Linked DNA regions of Drosophila melanogaster. Each later gene encodes a partner of the first gene's protein in a complex. Each region holds a gene or a part of one and is shown on either strand. Other genes may lie near its edges. The genes, in order: Drice and Diap1. A codon is read from its position in the direction of its gene.

Region 1 (4,590 bases):
CTCAGCGTCTCTGGCGTTGTGGGATCCGTCAGTTTTCTTTTTTTACCACCTTGCAGTCTCTCGTCTCGTCGACGTTTGTGATGCTCATCATCGCTGGTCAGGTAATCGTTTAGTTCCCGCACCAACATGGGCATTAGTCCTTCATACAGCATGAGTTCCATGCTTAAGTTATCATATTGGAAGTTGTAAAGTATGTGAAATAGCTGTTGGGTATGAAGAAAGCCATTATATATAGCAGATGTCAAGAGGGATTTGGTTTCCATCTCACCGATGATCGCTCGCTCTGCGAGTTGGAGTCCCGGATCATGGCCACCAGCTTGCGCAGTGCCCCACATCTCCGGATCTTCGAGCGGCTGCAGGCATCGGTGGATAGCGTCAAGATTATGTTGATGCAGTGCCGGCTCTCGCTTTCGCTAAGTGGCTTTGCCATGTTCACAGCCATGAGCATCTCGCAGGCAGCCACAATGGCATCCGCAGTGCTCAGCATGTAGAAGGCGAAGGGATCCTTGCAGAAGTTAGAGAGGATTTTAAGGGCAGAGGCCCGTTGGTCGCCGTCCTCCTTTACGAAGCACACAATGGAGGCGAGCGAGGTATTCCAGGAAATGGACTAACAAGAAATGTTTATTATGTACTACGTTTTGGAGAACTTAGAAAACAGTCTCACCTCCCAAACTTTCAGTCCAATTTGCTGCGCGGATATCAGGACCAGACACTTCAGAATCTCGAGGGCCAGCTCAACGGCCGCTTCATTTTCCTTGGGCAGCGCATAGTCACAGTTCCTTGTGGAATTCTTGAGCATCTGGTGGTCAAAGATGTCACTGCGAACACCCTCCAAATTCCGGGCTACCTCCTCGAAATACTTCTCACGGTGCTGGTTCCTCTTCAGGCCAATCAGCGTGGACATCTCGATGTCCGGAACGGGCTCCTTGGATGCCTCTTCGTTCTTCATCACGGCCAGAAAAATTCGCATCAGCTGCTGGAACCCATTGGCCATGAGGAAGTACTTCAGGAACTGGCTGCTGGCCAGAAGGAAACGGCAGACGCGGAATGCCATGATGCGGGTCTGCACCGCACTGGTGGACTCAATGATGTGGCAGATGGCCGGTGCAATGGCCGCATAGTGCACTGTGAGACACTGGGACGCCTTCTTGCTCTTGGCGATGTTTCCAAGCATCCGGCAGGCGCGGCACTGGATCAGGGGATTAGGTATGGTCTTCAGAATGGTCACCAGCGGGTGAATCACCTTGCATTCAACAGCCTTAAAGTGGAAAGTTTTAAATTTTTTTAACCGTTGTGGTTCAAAATAAAGATAAAAATGTAATCTGATAATCCCACCTCAATGCAGGACTGTTCGTCGGTGCAGCAGTTCCCCAGTATGCTCAGTACCACCTCCATTATCTTTTCATTCAGCTTGGTGATCAGTCGCACCTGGAAGACGCAATTAATAATGATTTAAAAATCGATTCGAATAACGATCCTATGTGAGCGGCAGTGGCTGTCAAACCACCATGAGCGTTGTGACTCCCAAACCCACCATGATGTGAACGCCCCCAGCAGTGCGAAATAAAACAATGCCATTTTTATCCTTCACCAGATCGGTGCGCAGCTTCACCAGGCATTTGTAAATGACTGTTCGATCCGTGGAGGTCTTTAGCACTTCCAGCATGCTCTCCACTTGCTCTGGTGTCCAGAACATTGGTAATTTTCTTAATTTTTAAACAAATTGAAACAATTCAACAAATTCTACAGTGCGTCTCAAACCTCTTTGAGAGTGTGACCGTGCATAAGAGCGTATTTTACGGTATTTTACGTTATTTTTCGAAAATCCAGCAGCGGTCTGCCTTATTTATAAACTGATGTTTACGTTTTAGCTTTGGATGCGAATTCGATTCTACAATAATAAATGGAAGCAGGCCTGTTTTTTATGTAGATTATACAAGTTCCCACAAAATTACCTCCAAGCTTTTAATTTCAAATTATTTTAATATTTTTTAAAACCCATTTAATAATTTTTCCTATATTTATTTACTTTCTTTGTTTACCGTAATCGTGACACGAGGGCTGAAGTGTCATCACCAAATCAGGCGCTATTTGGTGTTTTTCAACTGCCAACAACGGTCTTACAGAATTAAAGACAAAAACGCAATCGACTAAAGTAATTAGTTAATAACTAGCTGTCTTTGTTGCGCGTAAACACGGACTTTCCCCAGAACGAAGCTAATTTGCCCAAGTCGTGCATCCAAGCTTTTCACAGATTTGGAAAAACCTGTTTCGCAGTGCTTGTGACTCATCAGTTTTCGCAGGCTCAAGGAGAGAACTTAGCCATGGACGCCACTAACAATGGAGAATCCGCCGACCAGGTGGGCATCAGGGTGGGCAATCCGGAGCAGCCCAACGATCACACAGATGCCCTGGGCTCCGTGGGATCCGGAGGAGCGGGTAGCAGCGGCCTGGTCGCAGGATCCTCGCATCCTTACGGCAGCGGAGCCATTGGGCAGCTGGCCAACGGGTACAGCTCACCCTCGTCCAGCTACCGTAAGAATGTAGCCAAAATGGTCACCGACCGCCATGCAGCCGAGTACAACATGCGCCACAAGAACCGCGGAATGGCACTGATCTTCAACCATGAGCACTTCGAGGTGCCCACCTTGAAGTCTCGCGCGGGAACCAATGTGGACTGCGAGAATCTGACTCGGGTGCTCAAGCAGCTGGACTTCGAAGTGACCGTGTACAAGGACTGCCGCTACAAGGACATTTTGAGGACAATCGAGTATGCAGCGTCGCAGAATCACAGCGATAGTGATTGCATCCTGGTCGCCATCCTGTCGCACGGCGAGATGGGCTACATCTACGCCAAGGACACACAGTACAAGCTGGATAACATCTGGAGCTTCTTCACGGCCAATCACTGCCCCTCGCTAGCCGGCAAACCCAAGTTGTTCTTCATACAGGCCTGCCAGGGCGACAGATTGGATGGCGGAGTGACCATGCAGCGTTCTCAGACGGAAACCGATGGCGACTCCTCGATGAGCTACAAGATTCCAGTGCACGCCGACTTTCTGATCGCCTACTCGACGGTTCCTGGATTCTATTCGTGGCGCAACACCACCCGCGGCAGCTGGTTCATGCAGAGCCTGTGCGCCGAACTGGCGGCCAATGGCAAGCGGCTGGACATCCTGACCCTGCTCACATTCGTGTGCCAGCGGGTGGCCGTGGACTTTGAGTCCTGCACCCCGGACACTCCGGAGATGCACCAGCAGAAGCAGATACCCTGCATAACCACCATGCTGACGCGCATTCTGCGTTTCAGCGACAAGCAGTTGGCACCAGCCGGACGGGTTTGATGGCTAATGGTATGGATCAAACGGTGGGTACGGCGAGGTGTGTGATAAACCAAGTCGCAATTAAGTTAGAACCTCATGGGCTATCGGCCTTGCAGCATATTTTTTATACAACACTTTTTTAACCTGCCCAATTGCTCGACGAGATTGGTGCCACTGCCCGTTTTATTTTATTTAGGCACAAAGTATCTTTCGATTGACATTTATTAATGTCGCATTTACTCGTCTGTATTTATATTTTTTGGGGTGGGTAGAGTAGATCGATTTAACTTAGAAATCTAAGAGGTTTTTACTCCGGCCAAAATTTTTTGACAATTTTAACTTGCCAACTGAACAAAGACGATCTCAAAATTTTAAATTCTCTACTAAACCTTATCATAGAACAACTTGCGCCTCTTTGATTCTCGATCAGGAATGTCGGCCCACCCTTATCTATATCTACCTTAGACCATTTACAGACAAGACCTTTTTACAATTTTATACACATAGATATCTTTATAGTATAAGCCTGTGTGTCATGGTCGTCCAAAACGAAAACAAACGATTTTAGCCTGTAGTCGAGTGTTTTATGAACAATATATACTATTTCTATGCCATTTGTACTCTTATATAATGCACATTAGCAAATGTTCTCCTTTCAAGTTAACCGCTAATAAATCCGATTGAAAACAATGAGAAATCAATGACCATTGGCTGTTTGCTGTTGACCCTGTCGCCTCTTTTGGGCGCCAAGTTGAGCGGCATTTCCCGAAAAGGTAGCACGCGGAGACGGAAAAATAGACGAGTCCAGCCATTGGCTGACCCTGATCGTACGATTTCAGAGCTTACAATCACTTTATTCTTAGAGCTGGACACAACGAGAATAAATTCCAATTTATAGTTCACTTAAAGCACACGGGTATGGGTTGAATTCAGAGAAATTTAAAGCCTGTCAGCAAATCCGACTCTCCGGCTAGATAAATGCACGTTTCTGATAACTTTCGACTAATTAAAAACGTAGAATATGCGCTCACAATTTTCTAGTTGAGGAACATCTAGATGTGGCCGCCCTCCTTTAGCTTGGCCACCAGGGCATCCACGTCGGCGACGGTGGCGCCGGCCTGGCGCACAGGAGGATCCTCCACGGAGATGACCTCGATGCGGGGCGAGGTGTCCACGCCGAGATCCTTGGCCGTAACCTTCTTCAGCGGCTTCTTCTTGGCCTTCATGATGTTCGGCAACGTGGCGTAGCGAGGGGTGTTCAGCCGGA
Region 2 (5,004 bases), on another chromosome or scaffold:
CAAGATTTACAACTTCAATTGCAATGCCTTATTTTGAGTCAATTTCTTCTATGTCTTCTAAAATGTCAGCTTTTTGATTCGCTTTTAGGTTATAGAAAATAGGGTTCCCTGGGGCGGGGTTCTAATATATATATTTTGCACACAGTACAAGGCTGAGTAATTGCTACAGTAAATATTACGCAATTTTATGTACATAAGTTAGTATATGACATGATAAAATGGCTGATAAAAACTAATAAATGCGAAGAAACCACTAGGGATTCTTAAAGTATTTGTTGAATATATTTATATTATGAAATTTACAAACATATTTCTTGAATTGACGTTTTTGCCTCGAACAAAGTATTTGCAATGAACTATCAATAAGTAAAATATTTTTAAACGAAGTCCCAAGCTTTTCTGATTAAGCCCCTTTGAGTTATGAATATATATTTGGCAGGGGAAATGCCAACACGTTCTGATACTGTATAAACAAAGATTGCCAAGTTTGAATCATTTATGGAAAACAGCCCGGCTACAGTGCGCGACATGTGTATATGGCGTCCGCAAGCAAACGGGTTGAACTTTTCAAATTTTATAAATACACGCTGCTAAATTTACCACGAAAATGTCGCGACGCATTTGAGAAATTTGCCTATAAATGCGAAGTCTAGACGACTTTGACATGTTGCAAGTCGACACTGTTTGCAGGCGGTCTTCTGCTGTAAATTAAGCGAAAATGTGGCGTCTATACAAGCATTCTATTTGCGGATGCTGCCAGAGGCACTTCGGTTTTCATTTCATATTCAGCATCAAAAGATCACTCCGCTGACCACGCAGAGTTTGGGTCTCGAGTCGCCGGACAAGTTTTAGTTGAAAAATCCGCGGGCTTGGAGCTAAACGGCCTTGCAAGGCCTTTTAAAGTTGTTGCAACCGCCCTGTTCTTGTTGGTGCTGCTTTTAATGCACAGTTAAAATAGCCTACAGCGTTTTAACTTAATGTGTTGACAGCTGTTTAAGCTATTTCAAACAACTTGAGTCACTTTGTTGCTTTAATAATGAAACCATGCCAGCATTAACAAGTATGACTCAATAGGGATATACCTTAATTTTATCTATATATGCATGTATAATATTCATTTAAGATAAATATTAAGGAGCGTGTCAAAAGATTGCTGCAACTTTGTAATTCCTAAGTTCCTCATATTACATTTCAAAAGCTATACTCTACAGTTGATTCTGTTTATGTTATATTTTGTGGCTTTTTATTAACAGCCAACTGCAGCGGAGCTGAAAACCTGTTTGCCATTTTTGTATTCTCTTCATTCATTTGTGCGGCGATTGGCAAAAGGTGTCATAACAACGCGTTGGGCACGATTCGATTAGACTAGCCACTACCCATTGCTTATAACATGTGCTGCCTGTCGGTCCCTTTTCTAGCCACCATGTATTTACCTGCTCCATTCAGGGCCAAAAAAAAAGGAAGGAAAGAAAGCACCTGGATCGACAATTGTGGACGTGTGCCGGCAGCTGCAGCAACTAGGTAATAACCGATCAGAGGATCGCCGAAAGCGGAGCCAGCAACATCTGCTCCTGGGGCAAGGGTCCTCATCCTTATTGTGCACGCTTCCAGTGAAAGGATCGCGCGGCACATGACGACGCCAGCTGCCGTCGATCCTTTGTCAGGATATTTTCGGTGTGTGGATGTGTGGAACAATCCAATAATGAGCCTACCGAACTGAGGTGTCCCGCGGATCTTTTGCTGTCAAATGATGGAGCCTCAAAAAGGATGTATGTATATTGTATATTTAAGTTTATGGTGTAGTGGATAAATACTCAAAAATAATTTTATTCATCATTTTCAGGGGAACACCAAGTGAACTCATCAGTGAACTACTATTTGAAGTAAGGAATTTGAGAGGTTATGACATTACTCAAGTGACCTAATTTCCTGTGAAACCATCTAGTCACCGTTACTAGGTATAGATTAGACTTGCCAGTTGACAGTTGTTTTAAACAAATATCTCACGAATGAATGACGCAAAACAGAATGCAGCGAGGATATATGAATTTCGTTCTAGTAAAATAAGTGAGGTAAGCAACTGATGCTATAGGCAAAACCCCATCAATCATAGGAACCTACGCAGCGCTGTAAATGGAAATGACATTGAGCGGTAATTAGAAATTGGAAAATTCTAGCTAGTAAACGCGTTCCACGAATGGGTGGGTTTTGCAGCATGGGGGTGGTGTTGATTTCATCATGAATGAAATGCGATGCGAATGAGCTCAGCATCGGCGGAGATAAAAGGTACAATCTTAGTTAATATCCAGGCAGAAACATGTGCGACAGACAGATTTCATTCCAACCCATCCCTCAAAATGACAAGCTAGCACAAGAGCGAATAAGATAAGACGGGATCCTGACATATGCCTAAGTATGTATGTACATGTGTATCTCGGCCTCCAGATTGTTTTAGAAATCACTAGAAAACGCCAGAGAGCGGAGAGCGAGATAGGGAGAAAGGGGGAGAGAGAGAGAGTGAGAGAGGGAGGGATAATGGTCGTGTCCCTGTTTATGTGGGGGTAAGGACATGAATGAAAAAAGGCGTGTTGGAGAGAGAAAGGTAGACAGGCGGCGCCTATTTGTATGCAGCATAATTCAAGTATAGTAAAGTAAACCCATTTTGTTTTTTCTATAAACCGCGGGAAGATTGAACACACATATTTATATTTACTTACCAGAGACATTTTAAACAGTGATAACGTATCAGTTTATCATTGGTTTTTTTAATGCCTTTTTTCGGCCACCAAATCGTTAATTGTTTTCGTTCACCTCTTATCGCACCACGATAAGATTATAAAATCACTTAAAATAAGTTTTGCTGTATAAAATGTTTACACAACTGTGCTCACGTCGACTGGTGGGTTTGAATGCCGTGCAACGACTACGCCAAAGCTATGTGCCTATATAGCTCACTTTCCTATAGGTATTTGTTTTGTCGGTTCTGCGTTCTCGTTTTGTTTTGTTTTGCTTGGCTTTCTAGTGAGCGAGAGGGTGCTGGCGGGGGAAAGAGAGAGAACTAGCGGGGCGGAACGGTCGAAATAGTTTTTTGCCGCCCAAGCGATGCGCAATTATTTTTGGGGGTGGGATGTCCGCACTTTCGTTGGCTATTCCAGCTGTGCGTCTCTAAACTGGAATGTTTTTTTTAAAACTTTTTTAAGTTTAATTAATAACTATTTTGCAAGCTATTTATATTTCTGAATATATTAAAATTTCAAAAACAAACAACTGTCAGCACACGAAGTCGTAGTTTTAAATAAATGCTAAATGGGGTCACACTGTTCAAGGTGCTTGGCTCGCTGATGTATCGATACGCGCTAAAAAGATATCGATAAGATGCATCAGTGGGATCAAGTCTACGCTAGGCCGTCAGCAGCGTTTTCAACCAACATTTATCGAATAAAACGGTTTGGAAATCGAAACGGTAGTTCAGGTATAACACATATACAAAATTGAGCCACTTATAGAACAAGGGTCTGTTACCCGGTCCAGTAACACCGCGAAAACTGAGCTTATTTCGATTCATCAGAATTAGAGCCCCTAACATTTTGTCTTGATTTGACAAAAAAATTAGTGGAACAAACAGAAGAACCTTCGGCATACCGAGAACTCCCAGTAAAAACAAAATACTTTGATCAGTTTGGAAATTTATTTTAACATCAATTGTTTGTTGTTTCGGTTTAATAAACTTTCGAGAATTCTTAGTATCAAACCAGGAATAAATACAAACAATTGAGGGAAGCCACAATTAGAGAAGTTGACCAAAAACAGCATTTTTTGAGTTTGAAAGTAAATTGATTCTGTTGTATCCTCTTTTTCCTTTTTGTGTTTTATATAGATAAAATTAGAAACGGTATTAATATATTTAAAAAGTTGTTTGAAAATTGCATTGTATGTGTTTTTGAGGCACATCAAATATATCGATAGATATGGCCGCATCTATTTTTGAACTAAATGTAAAGAATTGGATGCAAAAAGAACGCATTTCTCCCGAATGGAGTAATAAGACGAACAATTACGAATACCCTAAAATAATATTGATAGTTTAATTAACATCGTTAAAAATATCGGTCCATAACAGCACTGCTAAGTGTTAACATAACTAAGACGCCATCTACAATTTTGTGAGCGGCGTTAGTGTGACCAGGCGAAAAGAGTGCTAAATATACCGCGCATTGCCCTCCGATTCACATCGTCAAAAAATTTTGGTCTGTGAACTTCGTGCGGATGAAATTCGATTTGAACGCCACCGAAAATATGCAAAATAAAGTGAAATACCAGTGCCTCGCGGACGAGGAGCGCTTCAGCGGAGAGTCCTGCAGCCATTAAAGCCCAGAGAGCACTGAAAGTTCTGGGAATTTCGCGGGAAAGGTGCGTTTTTCGCTTGGTCTTTCGGTGTGTGTGAAAAGTTTCTACTGCAATCCATTTTTCTCTACGTGCGTGTGCGGCATACGTGTGTATGTGTTGCGTCTGTGTGCGAGGCGAGTGAATGTGTGTGTGAGTGTGGAGTGGAATGTAAAATGTGGGGCGATGTAAAAATGCCTTTACATAAGTGCACTCGCATTTGCAAGGATTTTGTGCAATACCGCCATCCTGCCAAATTACATAAAATCATCGCATTTCAGTGCGTGAAAAAATACGCGGTTTCCATTTTTGTTCTATTTACTCGCGACGTCAGCGTCGCGGCTGTTGAATTTATGTCAAATTGGTAACACACACACATGCAGGCTCAGCCATTCGCGCTCTCCGTATGCAAGCCCTAACTGCATGAGTGTGTGTGAGCGGCAGAGAGAGAGAGAGAGCGCGAAAGGGAGAATGATAAACAAAGTGTAAAAAAAACAAGCGGCTGCTAAAATGCCCGCAAGTGTTTTTAATTGATATGAAAATGTGTTTGCTTAACACTATGTAGCCCAGCAGCTGGTGGCTCTAAATAAAGCATTTGCAAAATATTAATTTCTCCTATCG

Evidence for each region.
Region 2: the proteins of Drice (region 1) and Diap1 are in contact, whole or in part, in a crystal structure (PDB 3SIP), measured with the Drosophila melanogaster proteins. Residues at the interface, in NP_524551.2 of Drosophila melanogaster: Tyr256 (codon at 3,090), Ser257 (codon at 3,093), Trp258 (codon at 3,096), Arg259 (codon at 3,099), Asn260 (codon at 3,102), Thr261 (codon at 3,105), Thr262 (codon at 3,108), Arg263 (codon at 3,111), Trp266 (codon at 3,120), Asp298 (codon at 3,216), Phe299 (codon at 3,219), Glu300 (codon at 3,222), Ser301 (codon at 3,225), Cys302 (codon at 3,228), Thr303 (codon at 3,231), Met309 (codon at 3,249), His310 (codon at 3,252); in NP_001261916.1 of Drosophila melanogaster: Gln101, Pro105, Asn106, Arg111, Arg113, Ile132, Ser133, Tyr134, Asp135, Ile136, Cys137.

What each region holds. Positions count from the first base shown.
Region 1 is NT_033777.3:29,797,574-29,802,163, forward strand, and holds Drice (death related ICE-like caspase), read left to right. Parts: upstream 1-2,084; 5' UTR 2,085-2,324; coding exon 2,325-3,344; 3' UTR 3,345-4,011; downstream 4,012-4,590. Other genes in the region: Rnb (R and B), read right to left, coding at 1-203, 269-607, 665-1,258, 1,336-1,428, 1,535-1,696; Etfb (electron transfer flavoprotein beta subunit), read right to left, coding at 4,376-4,590.
Region 2 is NT_037436.4:16,047,741-16,052,744, forward strand, and holds the start of Diap1 (Death-associated inhibitor of apoptosis 1), read right to left. Parts: upstream 3,295-5,004; 5' UTR 2,718-3,294; intron 2,564-2,717; exon of another isoform or gene 1,844-2,563; intron 1,770-1,843; exon of another isoform or gene 1,495-1,769; intron 1-1,494. UniProt on the Drosophila melanogaster protein: Anti-apoptotic protein which functions as a caspase regulator, using its E3 ubiquitin-protein ligase activity to smother caspase activity. Binds, ubiquitinates and inactivates initiator caspase Dronc, and effector caspases Drice and Dcp-1.